Linked DNA regions of Sus scrofa. The protein of the gene in region 3 interacts with the protein of the main gene of each other region in a pairwise test. Links are inferred from orthologs where the notes say so. Each region holds a gene or a part of one and is shown on either strand. Other genes may lie near its edges.

The links.
Region 1: the proteins of RUNDC3A (region 3) and EIF3E interact in binary tests that used the Homo sapiens proteins (3 or more experiments, as listed by UniProt). The two-hybrid records come from large-scale screens. The link is inferred for Sus scrofa from reciprocal best matches to the Homo sapiens genes RUNDC3A and EIF3E.
Region 2: the proteins of RUNDC3A (region 3) and RAP2A interact in binary tests that used the Homo sapiens proteins (3 or more experiments, as listed by UniProt). The link is inferred for Sus scrofa from reciprocal best matches to the Homo sapiens genes RUNDC3A and RAP2A.
Region 4: the proteins of RUNDC3A (region 3) and RAP2B interact in binary tests that used the Homo sapiens proteins (3 or more experiments, as listed by UniProt). The two-hybrid records come from large-scale screens. The link is inferred for Sus scrofa from reciprocal best matches to the Homo sapiens genes RUNDC3A and RAP2B.
Region 5: the proteins of RUNDC3A (region 3) and CCNL2 interact in binary tests that used the Homo sapiens proteins (3 or more experiments, as listed by UniProt). The two-hybrid records come from large-scale screens. The link is inferred for Sus scrofa from reciprocal best matches to the Homo sapiens genes RUNDC3A and CCNL2.

What each region holds. Positions count from the first base shown.
Region 1 is NC_010446.5:29,305,275-29,309,720, reverse strand, and holds part of EIF3E (eukaryotic translation initiation factor 3 subunit E), read right to left. Parts: intron 2,838-4,446; coding exon 2,712-2,837; intron 1,886-2,711; coding exon 1,761-1,885; intron 1-1,760. UniProt on the Homo sapiens protein: Component of the eukaryotic translation initiation factor 3 (eIF-3) complex, which is required for several steps in the initiation of protein synthesis.
Region 2 is NC_010453.5:66,677,208-66,682,291, forward strand, and holds the start of RAP2A (ras-related protein Rap-2a), read left to right. Parts: upstream 1-1,954; 5' UTR 1,955-2,050; coding exon 2,051-2,364; intron 2,365-5,084. UniProt on the Homo sapiens protein: Small GTP-binding protein which cycles between a GDP-bound inactive and a GTP-bound active form. In its active form interacts with and regulates several effectors including MAP4K4, MINK1 and TNIK.
Region 3 is NC_010454.4:18,926,264-18,931,326, forward strand, and holds the start of RUNDC3A (RUN domain-containing protein 3A), read right to left. Parts: upstream 3,463-5,063; 5' UTR 3,251-3,462; coding exon of another isoform or gene 3,144-3,250; intron 1-3,143. UniProt on the Homo sapiens protein: May act as an effector of RAP2A in neuronal cells.
Region 4 is NC_010455.5:93,306,266-93,309,725, forward strand, and holds RAP2B (ras-related protein Rap-2a precursor), read left to right. Parts: upstream 1-1,846; coding exon 1,847-2,398; downstream 2,399-3,460. UniProt on the Homo sapiens protein: Small GTP-binding protein which cycles between a GDP-bound inactive and a GTP-bound active form. Involved in EGFR and CHRM3 signaling pathways through stimulation of PLCE1.
Region 5 is NC_010448.4:63,664,871-63,669,782, forward strand, and holds the start of CCNL2 (cyclin-L2), read right to left. Parts: upstream 3,184-4,912; 5' UTR 3,137-3,183; coding exon 2,837-3,136; exon of another isoform or gene 2,806-2,836; intron 2,539-2,805; coding exon 2,464-2,538; intron 2,203-2,463; coding exon 2,093-2,202; intron 916-2,092; coding exon 795-915; intron 1-794. UniProt on the Homo sapiens protein: Involved in pre-mRNA splicing. May induce cell death, possibly by acting on the transcription and RNA processing of apoptosis-related factors.

The DNA.
Region 1 (4,446 bases), on a different chromosome or scaffold from region 3:
ATTTTCTGTTACAAAAACTTCTTTGCCCATGTTCAGTTTTTTGTTTTGGGGGACAGGGGGCACATCAACAGCACGTGGAAATTCCCTGGCTAGGAGCCAGACCTATGCTGCAGCTGTGACTTGCGCCACAGGTGGGGCAATGCTGGATACCTTATCCTGCTGTGCCACAAGGGAACTTCCTGCTCATGCTCAGTTTTAACAAACTGGACCAGTATGCCATGCAAATACTGACTAAATACATTAGTACTAAACTTCAGTTATAATGTTATTTCAAAAATAAACTTCTAATGAAAGTGCTTCTATTTGCCAGACTGAGGAGAACATTTAGCATTTAGTGCAGAGAACACAATTTACACCATTTAAGAATAAGAATGGCTCCCTGTTTCTACATTAAAGAATTACTGGCACTTCTTGGTTGGCAAGTATTTTTCCTTTGTATCATCACCAATAACTTAATTTCTCTTAAATTCAAAGTCTTCATGGTTATGCTAACAACTTACCTGAACAGGTCAAATATTTTAGTCTTAAAAATCTTACTAAAATGAGCACTTAAAGAACATGCTTATTAAAGTGACTTGGTTTAAATGATTATATTTCATCAACTTATGTAAAAATATTGCTAAAGTATTATTACCTTATTTTCAAGACTTAAAAAATTACTAAAAAAATTAAAAATAAGCTATTCCGTCTATTCCTAAACTTTACTTTTGTAAATATATATGCATTTTAGGAAAAAAATGTTAAAATCAAATCTTAATTTGACAAATAGCAATAAACAAAATCAAGTGAAATGTAATAGGATCTCTGTCTTCATTTGGGTTAAAAAGAGCAAAAATATGGCTCTAAGTGTTCATGTGAAATTTAGTCAACGATATATTCAATAAGTCCTATTAAGAACCAATTGTTAAACTATGTTACTGCAAGCCTGGGCTTGCAGTATGTACTGGACATAGGAGCAAAAATCCTAGAAGAAGCTTTCAATTTTAAAGATTCAGATTTTAAGAAGGCTGTGGGTAAAGTGGCGTGGCAATTATCTAGAACAGCAGCCAAAATATTAAAGAATTTGAAAAACTACATTACTATACAATTTGATAAAACCAGAGATATTTAGCCTGAAGGAAAGAAAGATAAGTAAAATTATCCTCACATATCTCAATTATTTTCATAGAGCAGTCTTGTTTTCCATTGTTGCAACCAAAGAAATAAGAAATAATGGGCAGAAGATTCAGAGGCACTGACCTTCCTCAGCTGAAAGAATACATTTTTAAAAATGATTTCTAGTTAACAGAACAGTCTAGTTCATAAAGCAGTGAATTTCTTATCAACAAAAGCTGAATGATGGAGTAAAGATGATATAAAGGGATTCTTTTGGAATGTAAATCTTCCTTTCAAATAATATGCCATAGAGCCTTAATTCTAAAGCTTTAATGTATATGAGTTACCTGGGTTCTTGTTACATTACAGATTCTGATTTAGTTTCTCTAATATAAGGCCTGAGATTCTGCATGATACCGATGCTGCTGGCCCATGGACAATACTTAAATAGCACTTTCAAGGGCTTAGAGTATACTTTTGTCAAGTAATTTACTTAAGAGTTACATGTAAGCTTTTTCAATTAACAAGCAAATCTACCACATGAAGAGGGGAAAAAAATGTGACAATAAATTCAAATGCTGGACAAAAGTTTATCTTAAAAGTTTTTAAAAAATGCATTTGATTTCATATAATTAAAGCCAAAATTATACAATGAAATAACTTACTGTGGCTGGTAAAGGAAGAGATCGATAATGTTATCACGTCCTTTGGGGTGATTGAAGAAAACAAACAGAGACCAGTGAATGAGCCATGTTCGCTGCTGAAGAGACTGAAGTGGAGAACTCACAGACTAAAGGGTTAAAAATATATATACACAGGAAATATTATATGAGAAAGAGGAAAGGGAATAAACATTGCTGACCTCAGAATTTCAGTTAAAATGAGAACCTTCTAAGGTTATGATTGAATTCCAATCCCTTAGACCATTCTACTTTCTGCATGACCCTTGACATTCAAAATTTCTCTGCCCCTCAAACACGAGATTCAATAATGTCCACTAAGCCATTTTTTATTTATTTTTTGCCCCCCCCCCCCTTTTTTAGGGCCACATCTGCAGCATATGGAGGTTCCCAGGCTAAGGGTCTAATTGGAGCTACAGCTGCTGGCCTACGCCACAACCACAGCAATGCCAGATCTGAGCCACATCTGCAACCTACACCACAGCTCACGGCAATGCAGGATCCTTAACCCACTGAGTGATGCCAGGGATTGAACCCAAAACCTCATGGTTCCTAGTCAGATTTGCTTCTGCTGCGCCACAACTGGAACTCTCTCCTGCATGGGATTTTCACTAACGAGTGACACTAACCAGTACTGTCTCATCTTCACTGGCACAAGTTAAAAAAAAGGCACTATAGCTCTAACAAAAAAGGAAAATTAAGTTACTTTTTCTAAGAGCCAAAAGAAGTTTGACAGCTTCCTTCAAGGAGATTCAGTGAAACTTATCAACTCACTAACCTATGATGATTTTTACGTCAGGTCAACATTTTTAGTTTAGTCTCTCTCCCTTCCTTTTTAAAGTACACAGTGTTTTCCTCTAAAAAAAAAAAAAAAAAAAAAAAAAAAGAAGGATACAAAGAAATTTCAGAAAACTACCCCGAAAATGTGTAACTCACATTATTATCTATGGTCTCTTTTAGTCGGGTAAGGTCTTCCATGGCTGCATCCCAATTTTGCATTAAGATTTCAGAGGCCAGTTTTCCCCAGAGTGAACTCAAAGCATTTCTATCCGTTGCTGGAACCTGTGTAAGCAATCATAATTAGTTATATTCTGAATACTCTGGAGAAAAAAAGACAATGCATATTTTATACCCTACCTATTCATCTAGCCCACCGTAAGACCTGTAGTTCTCTTCCTCAAACTCAATATATAAGTCCTTATCTGGATCATCCTGATGAAATGGATTCAAACAGCTTTCATTTAACTTAATGTACTAAAAATTCTCAGGTCTTTGATATTCAGTCTAGATAAGAAAATAAGGAGTAACTTAAAAGGATACAGCACCAGTGTTTCAGTGTAACCCATTTCAAATAATCTATATATACAACTAATCAAATTTTAGGAACCAAAACAAACAAAGTTAGATTCAGAGGCGATTTGTTACTAAAAATTCATGGAGTGAAGAAGAAGAAATCAAGTCTTGTGGGTCTCAATTACAATTCAGAAAAATTAGTTATTTCCAGAACAAAAAAATTTCTAAATTATGACACAAATGGAGGAGTTCATGGAAAGAAAGAAAAAAAGGGCAGGTCTAACAATTAATTATCAAAGGTATGTGTACTGAGCAAGAGAAATTCATTTTCTCATATAATCCTAAAAACCTGAAAGATAAATAATAATTTTTATCCCCATTTTAAAGAGGGGGAATTGATGCATAGAGAGAAATAATAATTTTTATCCCCATTTTAAAGAGGGGGAATTGATGCATAGAGAGTGTAATTTGCCCAAAATTATACTTCTAATCATGAAAGCTATTTCATACTAAAGTCTTAAACTATGAAAAAGGAAGAATAAGGGCCACCCTATCTCTTCTGGCCACTGGTGGGAGAATGTTATAAACCCAAATACCTACAAGAACTGGGTTAATAACAAAACTGAGAGAAGCAGAACTTTCGAAACAAGGCAAAAAAAAAAAAAAAAAAGGGGGACATAATAACTGAACTGTGCTAAAGCCGCAGAAGCAAGTGAGGGTACTGCAGAGAGAATACATTTCTGCACTCAAGTTAAAATTTTGAATTTGATTTTTCACTGAAGCGCTTACATGGTGATACAGTTGTAAAGCCCTATTAGTACATATTGTAATTATAAGTTAAATAAAATTGTACAGGCAAGACTGAAAATACAACCACCAAAAATTCTGGTTCTACCACTTAAAAATAGCTAAACTATCTGTGCTTTAGCTCCCTCATCTATAAAATGGGGAAAGTAAGAGAATCTACCTCAGTTATACAATTTAAATGACATAAAACATGTAAAAAGATTACAAAATCAACTGATACATAATGAAAGCTTAGGAAATGTGACAAAATGATAATGAGAATAGAAATGATAATATCAGAATACTGCAGGCTGCCTAAACTATGAGGACCAAAACCATACCTAATTCAGACTCTGCCTATATGGAGATTCTTCCTTTGATGGCAGTAATTAACTCAAATGTACTAAAAAAACATTTAGGAAACTCAGAACAAGCAAATGGCAGAGACTAAATTTGCAAATTAAAATTTGAAACATAATCATGAAACTACTGGTTCTTATTATATGTTGACAAAAACTTGTACATGAATACTCACAACTTTATTTGAAATAGACAAACCCAGAAGTAATCTAAATGTTCATCAATAGATGAA
Region 2 (5,084 bases), on a different chromosome or scaffold from region 3:
TGAACTCAGACCAAAATCCTCTCTACCTGATGACCTTGTGGGGAAGAAGGGTGAAGAAATATGCCATGATCAAACCTTAGAACTATAGAAATCTATCATTCCCAAGAAATGGGAGTGATGTATGGCTGTAGACTAGTTCGAGAAGGACATAGTTTAAGGAAGGCAAATCCAATAACCAATTATTACAAAACATAATCCAGGAAGGTTTAGGAATATAACTTCTCCTAAATTTAACGTTGTAGGTGGGAGAGAGTGTTTAATTATGATCTAATGCCACAGAGAGAACAGTAAGTTTTAAAAGGGAGTTGTTAAAAATGTTTTAGGAGCCACGCATGGAGGACCCATGCAACTGCTGCAGTATGTCTCTTTAATGACCGGAAATTTTCTCACCCTCAAGACAAGAGTCCCTGTTTTCTCGATTGACCCACGATTCAGCCCACATCACTCAGCACTATTTCCGGGTCCGTCATTTAGGCAGAATGCCACCGAGACGACGTTAAAAGCGAAACCCATGGTTCTCGCCTCCAACACATCTTGTTCCCTTGCCAACGTAGGGTGCAACGACCTGTCCCTCAATCACTGACCCCTCCCAAACCCACCAGCCCTACCCCGGGTCTCCATTCCACCCACCCTTGGGGGCAAGGGAGTCGCGATTTCTGGTTGGCTCAGCTCAAGTCTCCGCCATCCGCCAGCTCACCTGCGGTTGGTTGGCAGAGCGTGCGTGGGAGGTGGGAGGGCTGAGCCTGCAACTAGGCTTTCCCCCCATTGGCTGATGGATGGGCATCACGTGGTATGAAGTGGCTCTCTATTGGCCGAGAATGGTACCATGGGTCCAGAGGCGTGCACTGGTTGGCTGGAACGACTCCCAGCTTCCTACTAGGTGCCCCGGCTGGCTGTTGCTATGAGCTGTCCCCAGGCCTTCTGGCTGCGCCTGGGGCTTCGCTCTCCCAGTTTTCCAAGCGCCCGTAGCTGACAGGGCGTGGGAAGAGCTCGACTTCCAGCAGACGCTGAAGAAAGGCGGGGCTGGGGGGAGGTGGGCGGGACTCCCGGCGACGTCACCGGGCGTGGGCCCGGCTTCCGCATGGTCGCTGGCCTTTGCCGCCTCTGGCAGTGGGCAGGATGAGGGCCTGTCACTTTTCCCTCTGTGTCTTGACGCTTAAAACAAAGCTTCACTTCGGTTTTATGCTCGTCCTTTAAACAAAGCCTTTTTTCGTTATGTTTATACAGGACAAAACCAAAGCTCACAGGCTGGGTGGTGTCTAGCAAGGCCCTCCTGCCAAGGCCTCCTTTTGGACCTTGCCGGTGTCTTCTTGTCACTCCCCGCCTCAAGTTAAAACCTAGAGACTGCTCTGGCCCCGCCAACATCGCGTCTCTGCCAAATTCTGAACTTGGCGTGCTCAGGCCGAAGCGGTTCCCGTCGCGGGCAGAAGAACCGCGCGTGCTCAGTACGCAGGATCCGCAGGGTTCGACGCGGCTTGCGGGGTGGGGTGTTGTTGGGTGGCCCAGGTGGTTGTTTATCTAAGCGCGGGCCGAGGCTTCCGCACGGCGCAGAGCCTCCCGGGAGCGCGCGAGGCCGGTCGCCTAGGCGACGGGGGAGCAAGGGCGGGGCTGCGCCACCGGGTCCCGCCCCGGGCCGCCGGGCCCCGCCCCCAGCAGCGCTGCGGCTGGGGCTCGGGCGCGCGCTCCGGCGCCGAGGGGAGCGGCGGCGGCGGCGGCGGCGGCGGGCGGGGAGCTGGGCGTGGAGGCGCGAGGGGCGGGGCGGGCGGCACTGCAGGCCCGCGTTTCGGGCGGCTCCGGCGGCTCCCTGGCTCCCACTCCCTGCTCGCCCTCAGTGCCTGCCGGCGCCCGCGGGGCCGCATTGCCGCCGGCTCGGCCCATGCCCAGGGCTGCTGCTCCCTCCGCCGGCGCCCGGGGGGCCGCGGCGGCCGTGAGGTGGGGGCAGCCGCGGGACGCGGCGGGGCCGGCCGCCGGCGCAGGGTTGGGGGGCGCAGCGCGGCGGGCGTAGGTCTATGTCGCGGGCAGCGGCGGCGGCGGCGGCCGCGGAGGGACGATGCGCGAGTACAAAGTGGTGGTGCTGGGCTCGGGCGGGGTCGGCAAATCCGCCCTGACCGTGCAGTTCGTGACCGGCACCTTCATCGAGAAATACGACCCCACCATCGAGGACTTCTACCGCAAGGAGATCGAGGTGGACTCGTCGCCGTCGGTGCTGGAGATCCTGGACACGGCGGGCACCGAGCAGTTCGCGTCCATGCGGGACCTGTACATCAAGAACGGCCAGGGCTTCATCCTCGTCTATAGCCTCGTCAACCAGCAGAGCTTCCAGGACATCAAGCCCATGCGGGACCAGATCATCCGAGTGAAGCGGTGAGAGGGCCGGGGGCGCGGGCAAGGGGCTTCGCGGTGCGGCCGGCAGCCCCTGTCCCGGGGCCAGAACTCCCTCCCGCGTGCTCTGGGGTGGCTGTGGGCAGGAGGAGCTGTCTAGGCAGGTGGCTCTGGGGTCTTAGGCTTTATCCTAAATTTTTAGCTGGTAGCATCCTCCTCGTCATCTTGAATCTCAAATTTGAGTGCTTTGTTTCACAACTCAAATTTGGCATCCGGTGAACCCACAGCACAGCTCTTTGTCTCTTGGATATTATTAGTAGCGGTTGTGCAGAACCCCAAAGGAAACAAAGTTTAAAACTTGCAGTGGGGGGAGAGGGGCGGGTAGGTTTCTGCTGGGAGGAGGCAGCTGTGCAAGTATAGCGGAGACATTTTCAGACGGAACAACAAAAAACCTCCCTTTGCAGCATTTGACAGCAAAAATTGCTTACACAAATGTGGTAAAAATGTCAAGTCCAATGGAAAGAGATCTTTCTCATTTCATAGAAGATTGAATGGTGGCAAGGCGTTTTACAAAAATGAACTCTTCACTTAAGATGAAACTTTAGAGACAGGTTATCAAATTATTTGCAGACCTGGCTCTGTGGGATTGAGAGAGTATTAGTATGTAGGAGCGCGAATGTACTATCACATTAAAGAATGTGGCTTAACTTTTTTTTTTTAATCTAGCCACTTTACCCCTCAGAAACAAAAAGAAAGGGAAAAAAAGAGGCATTCTTAAAAATAGAATGAGTTTCTTCAAAGGTGTGACTCAAATATTAGCTAATTTAAAGTTAAAGCAGATAAGCTCTTTCCTGTTACAAACTCTTTTCGCAAGTGTGCATTTTGGAAATATAACAGCCTAATGGCTTCTGCTATTTGTTTTATATTTTTTCCTATAATTTCTAGCATCAAAAAATGCAATAGTATCTCAGTTCAGAGTTTTAGCAAATTTTTCTAATTACCATTTAATTACACATTACTGTTTTGTCTGATTCTTACTATTAGTTAATAATTGCCAATAATTTTGATTCAGCATAATTTTGCTTTTCTTTCCCAGTTGTACCAGTAACCCTAAATTTGTAGACAGTTGCAAAAGCTAGTTATAAGTGTTATCATAGACATAATCTCATTTTTAGTCAGTTTGAGTCTACTCATTTTGAAAGAGCAAATACCAAGTCAGGTGCACGCAAGCTTTGCTCAAAAATTCATTACAAGAGGCGGATTTTTAATGCCACATAGGAGATCAAAGGGGAGGTCCTCTCCCCTCCTCCTTTAACTCATTGAATATGCCCTTTAATAGCTAAACTAAAATTTCGTGTGTTATTTTATATGTTAGATTTCAAGCTGGAATACAGTGAATGTTTTCATGGCCTCTGACAATGTCCTAAGATCTGTGAATCTGACAGCTTTTTACTTTTTCAGTCTCATTTCTTAAAGTTAATTGCTATAGTTAACATAGGAACCCTTTTGGTGTTAAATTTATTAAGTATATGATATTTAAGAGGCTGTATTTAAATGACTCACATCTTTAATTCCCCTCATACTGTTTTAAAAAACAAAAAACCTTTAGAACAGGGCAATCTACCACATTGTCACATGTCAATCTTAGGCCAAGTACATACATCAAATAGTAAAGTAAACGCCCCAACTGCTCCACCCTTTGTATTTAAACATATCACAGATAATTCCTGCGTTGATAAAGTCACAAGCCCAGGGCAAACTTCTTGGCACAAACTTACAGGACAGAATATGACAGAATGTTATTGGATAGTATAGTCCACATGATTTTGTAGTTTACTAGAGGTTACCAAGAATGAGTTAGTCTGAACTTAGTGTGCTAGAACGATTTATTTGTTTGCACTGTGACCCAGGAAGAAAAAGAAGAATAAAATTCTCCTTGCCCAAATGTCATTGTACTCACTAGTCTCAGTTGCCGATGTGTACAGTTGAAAAGCTCAGCTGAAGTGGACTTCGTAAACTCTTTTCACTGGAATCATCCATTGTGCCCATAAGTACCAGTTGGGCCCTTTGTGTCCTGCTGTTTTTTATCTCACCTTAACTTCATCATCTGGCCTCCCATCCTATAGCACATTGTAAACAGCTTAACACTGAAGGAGAGAGGGAATCGGTGTGTATGACAGTATACATTATGCTAAGGCGGCATTCAGTATGATGGGTCTTTAACTTCTCCCACTCAAAGCGAATAAAACATGATTTTCAAACAAGCGGATTTTCCACTCTTTTGGGGAATGAATTTTTAAATTAATGAGTTGCCGCAGCAGGTATTCAGTACTTGTTCCCTGGCCTCTGCCAGCTAGCTGCTTTGCATACTCTATACAACAGTTGTTTGGGATTATTTAATATCACCATAATGCCAATGACATAAGCGAAGTGCAGAGAGGTTTGGTATTTTGCCCAAAACTAGTCCTTGATGGAGAAGAGATTTAAATCAAGATCTGCATGACTCCATGTGCTCTTTCTTCTACATGAGGCTGCCTTTGAACTTGACATTTACTGGCAAATTCAGTGATCTAGCCTTTGGTCTAGGGCAGCACTCTTCAGTACGAATATAGCGTGGGCCACGTGTAATTTTTAAATGTCCAAGAGCTGATTTTTTATAAATGTGAAGCAGGTGAAATTAATTTTAGTAATGCATTTGAGTTAACCCATTCTATCTAAAATATTATCATTTTAACCTGTAATCAGTATTGAAAAATTGAGAT
Region 3 (5,063 bases):
GCTGAGCACATGGAGCGTGTGCATGCCTGGGCGGCCAGGTGGGCTTCTAGCACACGGATGCCCCCCCTTCCCCCTTTTCCTTCCTAGCTCGGCCACCCACACACCAGCTGCCCAGAACCAAGCGATGCGGAGCTAGGCAGAGGGACATGCAGGGTGTGGGTCTGACACACACAGTGGGTGGGAGGGGGCACTGGCAGCAGATCTCTGGAAGGGGCTTGGGGGCCCGAACACCTGGCTTCTCAGCGAGGAAGGAAGCCAAGGGACGCCCATGGGGCTGAGGGACTGGAGCCCAGCAGCCCCCATCCCTCTTTCCAGTCCTGCTTGGAGCTCCGGCCTCCTCTGCAGTCCCCACGCCTGCAGTCACCACCTGCCATTGCTGCAGCGGGGTGGGGCAGGGGTGAGGACGAGGCTCCCAACGCCCCGTTATTGTCCCACTGTGGGTGGCACAGCAGGGGCGAGGTATCCAGGGATGCAGGGGCTGCTTGGAACTGTCCCTTTTTTTTCTAAGCTCATCAAGCCCTGCAATGTGCCAAGCACTCTGCCTGGGTATCTCATCCATCCCCACGGCAGACCTGGGAGGAAGGTCTCCTCATTATCACCCACATCCCCATGTTACAGGCCCGGTAGCTGAGGGTCCAAGAGCTTGAGTGATCTGTTCAAAGTCATGCAGCCTGTGGAGAGTCAACAGGTAGGGCTGATTCCAAAGCCCTCGCTCTTTCTGCTACATCTGTGGCCTCCTGGTGGCTGCTCAGTAGAGGCCCCTGAGCAGCCCCTCCCTCTTCCAACCTCTGTCCTCTACTCAGCAGGCTCCAGCCCTTGAGCACTGGCCTCTGGGGCTCTTGGACTAAGCCCAAGGACCTCCCTCCCTTCCCTTTGGGCTTGGAGTTAGTCTGGCCTGAGATCAGAGCCAGGTCAGTGCTGGGTTGCACTAGGGAGAGGCAGCCTGGGTGAACAAATCCTGTGTCCTTGTGATACCGATGTGGCCTTGGACAAGTCATTTAATCTCTCCAAGGCCCATTTTCCCAAATGCAGACAAGAATAATAGTATTTGTCTTATCAAAATTTGGTTCAGATCCCAAGACATATCTGGAAGGTGAGTGTACAGGTCATTGGCCAGGGGTGGTGAGGAGCCGGGCCTTTAACGGGATGGCCAGAGGAAGCCTGAGTTTAAGGCATTATCTGGGCTTCATTGTGCAGCCCCTCCCCCGTGATTTCTTCTGGTCTTTTGGGTCAGACCTCAGTGGGGGCCTGCAGCCGGTTTCAGCATGGCAGCCATCTGCCATCTGCCCTCAGGGGTGCTGCAGAACTGGTCATCGCCCCCGGGAGCCCTGTGGTGTGTTCCCTGTTAGGAGGTGCAGTGGCTGCTGCAGGTTGCCATGGAGACAGGGCAGCCAGGGCCCAGGGGAGTCCTTGGCCTGCTAAAGGGAACTGTTCTGGGAGCTGGAGGCAAACCACATGACAAGGATGAGGCAGCAGGGGCCTGAGAGGTTTCTGAGCCTTTGTCATGCTTCCGATCCCCCCCGGCAAAACTCCATCCCTCACACCCCAGCTCTGAGCCCACTTCCAATCCACCAGAGCCTCTGCTTCTCCAGCCTAGGCCAAGGGGAGTTCCCTGCTTCCCCACACCCTCAAGAGGCCCAGGTGTCCTGGCAGGCAAGAGAAAGGAGAGGAACCTAGGTGTTGAAGAGAGAGGAGAGGGCCAGGAAGGATGTCCTCGGCATGAGGCTACGGGGCTAGGCTCCTCTGGGCTTTCTGTCATTACCATTCCTTGGTGGGGCTGTTACAATGTTACAATGGGGATGAAGCGCCCAAGGCCCAGAGTGGTTAGGAGACTTCCCCAAGTTTGCACAGCTAATAACTGTTAAAGTAAGAGCTTGAACCTAGGGCCATCTTTATTTACACCAGCCGACAGGGTTTGAGGGTGAGCATAGAGGCAGAGGTTTGCATTTGGGCTGGGCCATTGCTGCACTCATTCCTGCTACAATATTCTGGGTGTTTTTGCAGGGGTCCGATGTGCACAGCACTGTGCTAGGCCCTAGGGATATGATGGTGTGAGACAGACGCAGTGTGGCTGCGTGTGTGCCCAGAACCCTGGAAGGAGCTGTAGAAGATGGGAGCCTGGGCGTCAGGTGGGCACTGAGTCCTAGGGGAAAGAGCAGGGCCAAGGCCTGTGTGCAGGCAGGTGGGGCTGGCCAGGGAAGACAGCTGAGCTCTGCACTGGGAGCACCCTGCCCTTGGAGGTGGCATAGGGGAGAGGGGAGGTTGCAGATGGAGAAGGCAGCTGGCATGGGGACCCAAGGGGAGAGATGAGGGCAGGTGAGGGCCGAGGGACAGGGGCTGAGCTACTGGCCATTCCTGGCTTCAGGGCAGGGCCGGGAGGGTGAACCACTGCAGGCCTGGGAAGTGGGAAGGTTCATTTCCTGAGCCTCAAGAAAGCGGGCAAGGCTTCTGAACACTGCGACAGCCCCACCCTCAGGGACCAGTGGCTCTGCCCTCCCAACCTCCTCCCGGCCAACCCAAGAGACCCAGGCTTCTGTGGTCAGGCCCTCAGTCCTTCCCAAAGCAGAGCTAGTGCCCCACACTCTTCACTGCACTGATTCGGGGACATTGCCTACATGCCCAGTTAACCCTGCCCTAGGCTGCAGCTGCCCAGACATGGAGGAAGGTACATCCCTGCTCCAAGATTTAAGCATCAGCATCTCCACGGAAAGCCCCACCCCAAAGAGGCCAGGCTGACGGGGAGAGTGAGGGTATGCTCGGAGGGATACCCCCTGTCCCCTCGGTTCTCCTCAGCCCACCCAGCTCCCGCCCCCAGCAAGGGAGCCAGCCATCCTCACCCCTCCCCCTCGCACACAATGTCACTTCCTGGTTCTACAGGAAGCTGCAGTGCTAATTAAACACCCCTAACCCCCCGGGCTGCAGGCTGAGCAGAGGCCTGGCTAGGCCTAGAGGGGTAGGCATCAGACCTCCCCAGGCCTGGCCCTGAGGACAGTGGATGCGCTTCTCTTAACCTTGCGCTGCCTCCCTTTCCTCCGCGGCTGCTGTGCAGCCATCCTCCCGCGGGCACTCTCAGGCCGGGTTTCGGCAGCCCACCCCCACGCCTCTCCCGGACCACCCCACCCCCGCCCGGCGGCGGCGCCCACCTGCACACGGTGATCAGGTTCCTACGCTCCACGGCCACATTCCGGGAAGATGCTTTCTTGGAGGACAACCCCAGAGCCATGGTGGTCTGGACAAAGCTCGCTTCCATCCAGATGTGTGGCCACTGCTGCCGCCGTCAGCTGCCCACCCGGCGCCGCGGCCCCCCCCAACAGATCACGGCTGGGCCCTCTGCCCGCCGGGGCCCCTCGACCCCTCCAAGGCCATCCTCTTGCCGCTGCGCCTGTTGCCCGGCCCCCTGGCTCCCTCCCCAGGCGGCGATTCCGGAGCAAAACAAGGCCGGGGAGGGAGCTCTCCGAGGTGCTGAGCCGGGGCGCGTCACCCCCCCCTCCCCTAGCCTCCCGCCCCCCCTCGGCAGGTGACGTCAGGGCCCTCGGGCCCCGCCCCCCGGCAGGCCGGGGACCAATCCGCAGAGGGTGCAGGATTTGGGGGCGGGGAGGGAGAGGAGAGCACTGGGCCTCAGGGAGGACTGAAGGGGGTCCCCGGAAGACGCAGCGTTTGGAAGGAAGAAAAGGGGCATCTGGCTTGTCCTCCACCCCCGTGATCAGAGCCCGGTACCCCACGCTTCGCATCTCTGAGCTCCGACCCCTCTACCCCCTTGTTTCTTATCTGCGATCAGTGGGGTCTAGCTCAGATTTCGCCCCCTGATTTCTCCTCACCTCCTGTACTCTCGTCTCAGCCTCGGCCCCCACCCGTTCAGTGTCGGCATTCCCAGCGAGGCCAGAACCAATCCTAGAGACCAAGGAGCAGTGAGAGCCTGCGTGACTGTCTGCGCCCGGGGGGGAGGGGGTGGACTTGTCTGCAGCAGCCGGCTTCTAGGGTGGGGGATGGGAATCCAGCCTATGCGGTAGGAGCCCAGCGCCTGGGACTCCTCTGGACAGTGAATGGAGCAGATTGGCAGCTAAGGGCCTGGGCTCTGTGGAGGTTCCCAGCCGCAGAGCTGGTGCCCAAAGTAGTAGGAAGGCAACTGCTCCTTCTCAGGGTCCTACGTCCTCACACCCCCAGGTGGCTTGAGGGTTAAACCCCTTGGCTACCAGAATTGCTGCAGGGTGCCATCAACTCTCTTTGCAAGGCCAGAAAAGCTGGTTGCATGTTTTGGGGAAAGATGGGGAAATGGAGGCACCGGCCGGCTTCCCTGCCACCTTTCGCTCTTTCACATCTCCACTCGCATCTGCTCCATTCCTCTATTCAGCCTGTTCTCTTTCACCCACTCAAATGTCCACCTCCCATAGAACGCCTTTCCATGTTGATAACAAGGGCTTCACTCAGTTTCTCCATCTGGCCTCAGAAACATCCATTCCCAGGCTCAGCTCATATCCATTCACCAACTCTGCCCATGCACTGGATTTACTCTGCTGGCTGGTGGATGGTCAGTATCTCTGCGTTGATTCAGATGTGCAGCTACATCTGACTACGACCAGCAGGCAAGGACCCTTTTCTAGCGCAGAGAAGGAGGTGAAAGACCTGCCAAGGTCCCCAACCTTGGTCTGTCTCCCTGGGGGCTGGATCTCCTGCTCAATTCTTGGCTTCTGGGACCTCAGAGTTAGTCTTCTCTGTCCCTCCTCTCTGCCTTTTCCCTCTTGCCTCATCTCTAGAAGCCCCTCTTAACATCCTCCTGCCTCCAGACCCATCCCCAGGGGCAATCACAATGTTTGTTCTTTTGTTTTTCATTGCAGGATATATCAGATGCCCAAAAGAGCACCTAAAACACATGTGTGCAGCTTAAAGAATGTTTCCAAAGCACAAGCCTGGGATGTAATCTCAATGATCAAGAAATAGGACATTGAGGGCGTTCCCATCGCGGTGCAGCGGTTAACGAATCCCACTAGGAACCATGAGGTTGCGGGTTCGGTCCCTGCCCTTGCTCAGTGGGTTAAGGGTCCGGCGTTGCCATGAGCTGCGGT
Region 4 (3,460 bases), on a different chromosome or scaffold from region 3:
CAAAGACGTTTTCTAAAGGCAAGCCCGGGCATTCCCCCACCCGAGTGAGATGAATTCATAGTGGCCCATTTCCACATCCTAGCCCCTCCCCCACCCTGCTAAAACAAACAAACAAACAGAAAAACCACCAAACTTGGAAACTTTGCTGTTTCTTGAAGACCAAGAACTGTAGCCAGCTCCCTTCAACCGACTGTCGTGACTGGGCACCAAGAAGTTAGATTCTCTCCAATACACCAACAAAGGACTATATTTAGCTCTGAGATCTCCGCCTAAATTCCTTATTTTTTTCACTCTTAGCTTCAAAACGACTAGGATGGGGAAGTGGGAGGAAGGGGGCGGGGAGCAGCAGAGAAAGAACAGCTGTGCCTCCGCCTCTCAACTCAATCTCTATAAATAACCAATCACGAGCGGAGTCTACTTTTTAGCCAATGAAGCAGCCCAAACTGATAAGATCTTGGCAGTAGCCAATGGGAGAGCATTTGAGGGTGTGAGATTTGCGCCCCGGGACCAATGGGTCCAGAGTCTGGGAGAGGTAATTTGAGCTAGAGTGTGGGTGTGTGGTGCACAAGCTTCCTACTTCCAAGCCCCCAAACCTGCTCTGTGCACTGAGCATGCCCTGACTAGCTGCGGGCGCCACCGCCGCTTTGGATAGGACTGTAATCCGCTCTCCAGATTTTGGCCCCAGCTGACTGGGGCGGGGGAGGGGGCGAGTGGGGGGGCGGGGTGGCCCGCGGAACCCTAGCCCGAAGACAGCTCTGGTTAGTAGAGGCAGCCCTTTCCCTAGTCGCAACAGGGTTTCAGACCCAGCATTCCCGTTTTCTTTGTCCCAGAGATGAAAGTGCGGGAGAGTAGGCCAGAGAAGGTCGGGTAGAAAGAGCTGCGCCTTGGGTAGGGGAAGATGGTCTTCCCGCCAAACACCCAAACGTCCTTTGGGTCTCAATCCCGGGAGACACACCCTCCGGGGGTCTGGGAAGTGGGATCTACGGGCTCTGAATGATGCGAGGCAAGAGCCCAATCCTCCCTATTCCCAGGGAGGAGTGAGGGGGTGGCTGCCGCACCCACTCGCTTCTCGAAGAGCCTGAGCCCCTATGTATGAACCCAGAGCGGCGAAAGAAGGCTGCCTCCAACCTCCCACTGGAGCTCTCCCAGCCCGCCACAAACACCTACACATCCCGGCACATTTGTCCTCTTGCTGGGAGACCAGAGCCTCCGGCGAATCCGCTAGTCCCGACTCAAATCGCGAGCCCCACCCACAACCCCGCCTCCGCCCGGCTCCCTGGAAAACCAGGAGCAGCGGATCCGGCGGGAGCGGCCGGCGGCGGCGCACTGGGCATGCTCGTCCGGGCGGGGAGGGCCGGGCTGCGCGCGGCGAGTAGGAAGCCCTCGCCCCGCGGAGGCTGAGGAAGAGAGCTCCATGGGCCGCGGCGGTGGGCGCACGCTCTGCGGGGACTCATGCCACGCGCGTCCCGGCCCGACGCGCAATTAGCTGCCGCCTCCGCAGCCCGCTACCTCCGCCGCCTCCTCGCCCTTCTGGGCTGCCGCGACGAGAAGCTGCAGCCTTCGCTTTGCACAGGCTGCCGGCATTGTCCTCCGGTTCCGCCGCCCAGGCTGCCGCTGCCGCTGCCGCCGCGGGCTGCTGCGGGGCCCCGGACCTGCGCCCCAGGGACGCGCTGCCGCTGCCGGCCGGCCCGGCGCCCGGCCCCCGCTCGGTGATTTCCGCGCTCTGCGCTCCTCGGCCATTTCGCTCCTGAGTTTTTCCTGCGGAGCTGAGGAAGGGTAGAAGTCCAGCCGCCAAGCCCAGCCTTACTACGGCGCGCAGCCCCGACGGGCGAGCGCCGACGGAGCCATGAGAGAGTACAAAGTGGTGGTGCTAGGCTCGGGCGGCGTGGGCAAGTCCGCGCTCACCGTGCAGTTCGTGACCGGCTCCTTCATCGAGAAGTACGACCCCACCATCGAGGACTTCTACCGCAAGGAGATCGAGGTGGACTCGTCGCCGTCCGTGCTGGAGATCCTGGACACGGCCGGCACGGAGCAGTTCGCGTCCATGCGGGACCTGTACATCAAGAACGGCCAGGGTTTCATCCTCGTCTACAGCCTCGTTAACCAGCAGAGCTTCCAGGACATCAAGCCTATGCGGGACCAGATCATCCGCGTAAAGCGGTACGAGAGAGTGCCCATGATCCTGGTGGGCAACAAGGTGGACTTGGAGGGCGAGCGCGAGGTCTCTTACGGCGAGGGCAAGGCCCTGGCCGAGGAGTGGAGCTGCCCCTTCATGGAGACATCGGCCAAAAACAAAGCCTCGGTGGACGAGCTGTTTGCCGAGATCGTGCGGCAGATGAACTACGCGGCGCAGCCCAACGGAGACGAGGGCTGCTGCTCGGCCTGCGTGATCCTCTGAGGCGCCCGCGGCTGCCGCGCGCCGGCCGAGCTCTGCGCACAAAAGCCAAACGCACCCGACTCTAAATGTGATTTCTCTTCTTGCTTTGAGATTGGAGACGACTTTGCATCGGCCGGGGTGTCCCGGGAGCCCGGCTGGCCCCCGTGGCCATGTCCCCTGCCTCTGCCCCGTGTCCGAGGGGGTGTGCCGTTCTGACCATCCGAGACCCGATGGAAATGTGGCTCTTTGCGGCATGTACGTTTCTCATTGATTTTGGTTGACGCGTTATTTCCCCATTGACGCAGCCGTTGGGGCGCTGTATTGGCAGCTTGACACCGGCAAGCGAAAGTTTCAGCCTGGAGAAAAAAAAAAAAAAAAAAATGGGGTGGGGGAGGAAGAGGACGGGGAGAAGGTTGGAAAGGGGGAGTTTTTTGTTTTTGTTTTTCTGTCCAAAACCGTTTTTCTCGTTCCAAGTTTTAAATACTCGGAAGGAAGTCCGGGAGAACCAAATGAAGGAGCAGGAGGAGAGGAAAAAACTTTTGTTTTTTTTCCTCGTTTTCCAGGAGTAGCTGGAAATTAAGATCGGGTTCCTTTTCTGCCAGCTTGGAAGGGCAACCCCGTGACTGATTATGATTCTGAGGATGTCTATGCAAAGTTGGATTCTTGTTACAGTGTATCCAATCTGAAGTATTGCACATCTGAACTGGGACTGTTAACACTGATGCCAATACAGTGTGGGGTGCCAGAATGTGTCTGCTGATATTTGTGGAAAAAAAAAATCTATTTTTGTTTACCTACTGTATCAAAGGGGAGTCTGGGGGAGAACGGTAGTATTTTTTTTTATCAGCTGTGAAAAAAAATGTTACAGATCTGCACATTTTTGTGTGTACTGTTGTGTGTGTGTGTGTTTTTAGATTTAGCTTTTTGTTCTTATTGGTTGGCAGTAACAGGTTTTGATGACTAGCTCTTTAAAACACAGTACAAAGACTTCACAAATGTGATTCAGGGCCCCCAGCACCCCTGTGTCTGCAGAGTGCCTTCAAAACTCAGCTGTTCCAGCCGGTGCCAACCTGTGAATTTCCC
Region 5 (4,912 bases), on a different chromosome or scaffold from region 3:
AATCCCTGGCCTCGCTCGGTGTGTTAAGGAGCCAGCGATGCTGAAGGCCGGCAGCTGTAGATCCAATTCGACCCCCTAGCCTAGAAACCTCCATATGCCAAGGGTGTGGCCCTAAAAAGCAAAAAAAAAAAAAAAAAAGAAAAGAAAAAGAAAGAAAGAAAGAAAAGAAAATAGCGCTTTTGTGTTGACAAAAAGAAAAAAAAAGATGAAGCCAGCATGCTGTGCCGGTGTGTCACGTGGGAGGAGCGCACGAACTGCGTGCTCGACCGCGAGTGTGCTGCGCTCCTGAGGAAAAGGGCTCAGGATTCTCCCGACTCCCCCGTAACAGGAAATCAGGTTACCACTAAAGCCAATGGGGTCCTGCTGGACAGCACGGGGAATTAGTTCCATCACTCGTGATGGACCGTGATGCGAAGGAACACGAGCAAAGGGATGCAGGTGTGCAGGCGGGACTAGGTCACTCCGCTGTACAGCAGAAGCTGACAGCAGTGGAAATCAATGATAAAATTGGTTTAACTGTCACTAAAACAACTTAGAAAGTCAGCTGTTGAGAAAAAAAAATGCAGAGTGACACCTCATTTTGACAAGTTCATTCCCATCTTGAAAAGCTCAAACCCAAGATGCAGTTCTCAAAGCTCTTAAAAAGACGCCATTAAAATTAACGTAACACAAGACCACGGAAAAACTTATTTCCAGGTTAGAGTGCAAACGGGACACTGGAGTCAGGGGCCCAGTTACTCCTCTTCCGTTTCCAATCTGGGTGACACGGGGCGGCAGCGGGGCCTCGTACCCACCTTGTGAGGGTGCTTCACGTGCACGCAGAAGCCCAGCTCCTTGAGGACTCGCCTTTCCGCCTTTATGATTTGATTCTTTAAATTAACGTAATCTTGATCCAGCAGGAGAGGCACAGGTTTTCTACAAAGACAGAGCACGCATCTAGTGAGAATTAAATACAACAGAATCTGTCCAACCCAGGATGGCCGCCGCCGACAGCCTCCCGGAAACAGAGTCGGCTTCCTTTAACCAGCGAGACTACCGGCTTCCTCGAACCCCAGCGCCACCCAGCTTACCCTTCTCAGGAAGGCTCTCCCGTTTTCTTTCCATTTTGTTTTGTTTTAATGGCCGTGCCCACAGCACTTGTGAATTCCCGGGATGGGGAATGGATCCAAGTCGCAGCTGCAACACTGGATCCTTTAACCCGCTGCACCAGGACCAGGGTTTGAACCTCGCCTCCGCAGTGAGCTGAGCTGCTGCGGTCGGACTCTTAACCCACTGTGCCAGTGTGAACTTCTCTCCCTGTGTTTGACTGAGAAATGCCACTGAACATATTGGAGGGTCTCACAAGCTCCTCACCCAAGGACTGCTCCTGGTTCGTCCTGCTCAAGACGCATGTGCATCACAAGTGAATGGGAAAGCAAAGGACCAGCAGAGTACAGCATTTCAATAGCAGAGGCTGTTTTATTGGCTGGAGGTTGGAAGGCCTGGCCAAGGATGCTTCTAGACACCCTACAACGCACAGGACAGCCCCCCACAAAGCATCACCCACCCAAAAATGGAAACAGTGTTGAGGGTGACAAGCCAGCTCTGGAGCATTCAGAGACTGACGGGGGCACACCAGGAAACCGATGCCAGAAAGACGACTGCCACACTTCCCTGACCACTCTTCACTCACTAAACAGTATGGGTCGGCCCCCTCTGCACCAGGGCTCCTCTGGGCACAAGTTTAAACCTCACAACCCCGAGAATGCCCGCTGGGGCTCAGCTGGTTAAGAACCCGACACTGTCCATGAGGACACAGATTCAACCCCTGGCCCCACTCAGTGGGTTAAGGGTCCAGAGATGCCCAGAGCTGCAGTGTAGGTTGCGATGTGGCTTGGATCCAATGTTTCTGCAGCTGTGCCGACGGCTGGCAGCTGCAGCTCTGATCTGCCCCCTAACCTGGGACTTACATGTGCCGCAGGTGCGGCCATGACAAAGAAAAGCGAGCAAGTAGAAGCTTACATCCTGAATCTTGTTTCAGAAACATCCGTGTAACTGGACAGCCGCGAGAACGAGCACACGCACACCTGCAACAGCTCTAACTCGGACGCACCTTTTCTCCCTCAGGTGTCGAAGCCGGTGAAACACATTGATGACGTCTCGGATCCTTCTGGGAGCTTCCTCTATCTTGGAGGCCAGGTGAACACAGGCCATTGACACATGCTGAAATGGAAGCAACGCAACACGGACGTCTGCTCCAGCGGCGACACCTCCCACAGCTTAAAACCAGCTGAGAGCAAAGAGGGGTACCGGGAGAAAAAGGCCACCTATCTACCGCACAGGGGGCTCCCCAAGCCTTTAAGGACAGCGCTGCAGGTGGTGGAAGACAAGGACTCACTCCACTGAGCAACGCGGCAAAACAACAAACCCAGGTTTCCGGTTCCCCCCTTTCTGCGGGACAGACAGACGAGGAGGAGGTCTTACCTCCATGGAATGCTTCACAAAGGACTTGGTATAAAAGAACCGCTGGAACAACACCTGCCCTGTAGCCATGGCCACCTACAGAAGAGAAAAGTTTCCATCCTTTCCAAACGCCTACTCTGAGTGTTTCATACTTAAGTCACTGAGTTTCCTGAGACTCCTGACAACCAAAAACTAAAACGTGTCCCGCTGCTTTGCCTCCCTCACTACCTCCGGGACGCGCTGGGCCCGGGGCCCGGGTGGGAATTAGGAGCGGGCTTGGGGTCGGACGTCGGCGCCGAGCCGCCCGGCCCTGCCGCCAACAAAGGGCCCCGCCGCCTCCCCCGGCGCCGGCACGGCGGTTACCTCGGCCCGAGGCTCGCGGCCGCTCCCTCACCTGCGGCAGGCGGAGCAGGATGCCGGCCGCCTGGATGAGCTCGCAGCCCACCACGCGGAGGTCGGTCTCGGTGTCGGTGTCGAGGCCACTCGACATGGACGGAGTGAAGCGCAGCTTGTCGTCAGGCAGGAGGCAGTTCTCCAGGGTGATGAGCACCCCAGAGTACAGCCGGTCCCCGATCAGCACCCCCTGCGATCCCGGGGCTGCGCTGCCCGAGCCCGGCGTGCCGGCCGCTGCCGCGGGGGCCGCCGAGCCCGGAGCCCCGGCCCCGGTCCCGGCCGTCCCCGTCGCCGCCGCCATTTTGTGCCGCCGACTCCTTCTCGGGCTCCTTCCCCGTAGGGCGGCTCCTCGCGACGCTCTACGGCCGCGACCGCCCCGCCCCGCCGCGTACCATTCGTTCGACTGGTGGGCGGCCCGAACCCGCCTTGTGGCGATTGGCTGTACCGCCTGCCCGTCAGCGTCTCACCCGACGCCGGAACCGGAGCGGGCGGGGCCGGGCACGTTACCCAGGAGGCCCCGCGGCGCCCTAGCGAGGCCGCGGCCGCGACCCGGAAGTACTAGCCGTAGACGCCGGTTCCGGTCCTGGCGCACAGCTGGTGCCGGGGTCCGTGAGGTCGCGAGGGTTCCGCTGCAGCCGCAGGCTTCTGGGGGGTCCCGCGGGGGCCCAGGGGAGGGCAGGGCCCTTGCCGGGCAGTGGGAGTGGGGGCGGCTCTCCTACCGCCGGGACTGCGTCCTGCAGGGCAGGGGTCCAGAGCTTGGGTGGCGGTGTCGGAGGTCTTCGAGGCAGCCGGCGCGGTCATTACTCTCTAGCCTTTACTGAGACCAGGTTTTGGGGCACACGTGTTAATGCCATATTCTCAAAGTTCTCGCCTACAAGTCGAGTCCATACAGAAAAGAAAGGGTAGTTTCCAGCCATTTCTCCTGGAAACAGCGGGGAGCCATCGACGGGTTTGACTTCATTTCCTCATCGGTTGTACCAGGCGCTCCCAGGATCAATGAATTTTTACGTCACCGGACAGCAGTGTTGTAATCGCGTCCGATGCGGTAATCGTTATTACTAAAGTTTTCCCAAACTTCCACCGAGATTAGTGGAAGAACCTGGGAGGATGTGGAAAAGACCGGGCGAGGGCAGGGTGGAGAGGAGATGGCAGGGTAGGCGCCTGGATGGGTGCGGGAGAACAGGAGCTGCCAGTGACTGCGCCCATGACTGAAACCCCAAACCCGGAGGGTGCCATTGGCTTTCACTCCTGAAGAGACTTAATCCTGCAGCTCAAGCAGTGCCAACTAAACCTGTCTCTCATCCCCACAGGCCACATGATAACCGTGCTCCCCTGCTCCTACCCCCCAAGCCGGCATCGCCAGCATGTCTCCTCTGTGGGCTACAATAGCACACTGTCCAGGAAAGGAAGAATTTCCTCTTCTGAAACCCCCTGGAAACAGTGTTTTCCATTGCCCCTGCCTGGGATGCTTCCCATCTCCTGCAGTGACTAGCCAGAGGGAAAAGTTTATGGCTGTAGCCAGTCAGAGCCAGACTGGGGCTGGGGACAGGGCCATGGCACCTGGGTCTGCACAGAAGGAAACCCGGGTCCTGCAGCCAGAGGGGGCGCAATTGCCAGGAACAGCACACAGCTGTCTGCCACATCCCACCTTCCTTTATGGAGATGAAGAGAGAGGAGGCAGCTCCTCCACAGCGGTGCATCTAGCACAGAATTGGGCCCCTGACACCAGAGGGCTCTCTGGATCCCCCACCCTGTTGTCTCTTCAACAGCATTTATGGAGCTCCCATCATGGTGCAGTGGAAACGAATCCGACTAGGAACCATGAGGTTGCAGGTTCGACCCCTGGCCTTGCTCAGTGGGTTAAGGACCCAGCGTTGCCATGAGCTGTGGTGTAGGTCGCAGACAGGGCTCGGATCCTGCATTGCTGTGGCTGCAATGTGGGCCAGCAGCTGTGGCTTCGATTTGACCCCTAGCCTGGGAAGTTCCAAATGCCAGGAGTGCGGTTCGAAAAAGGAAGACAGACACACTAGTGCGTGAGTGGTCAGGTACTGCACTAGGTGTGGCCCAACAGCACTGG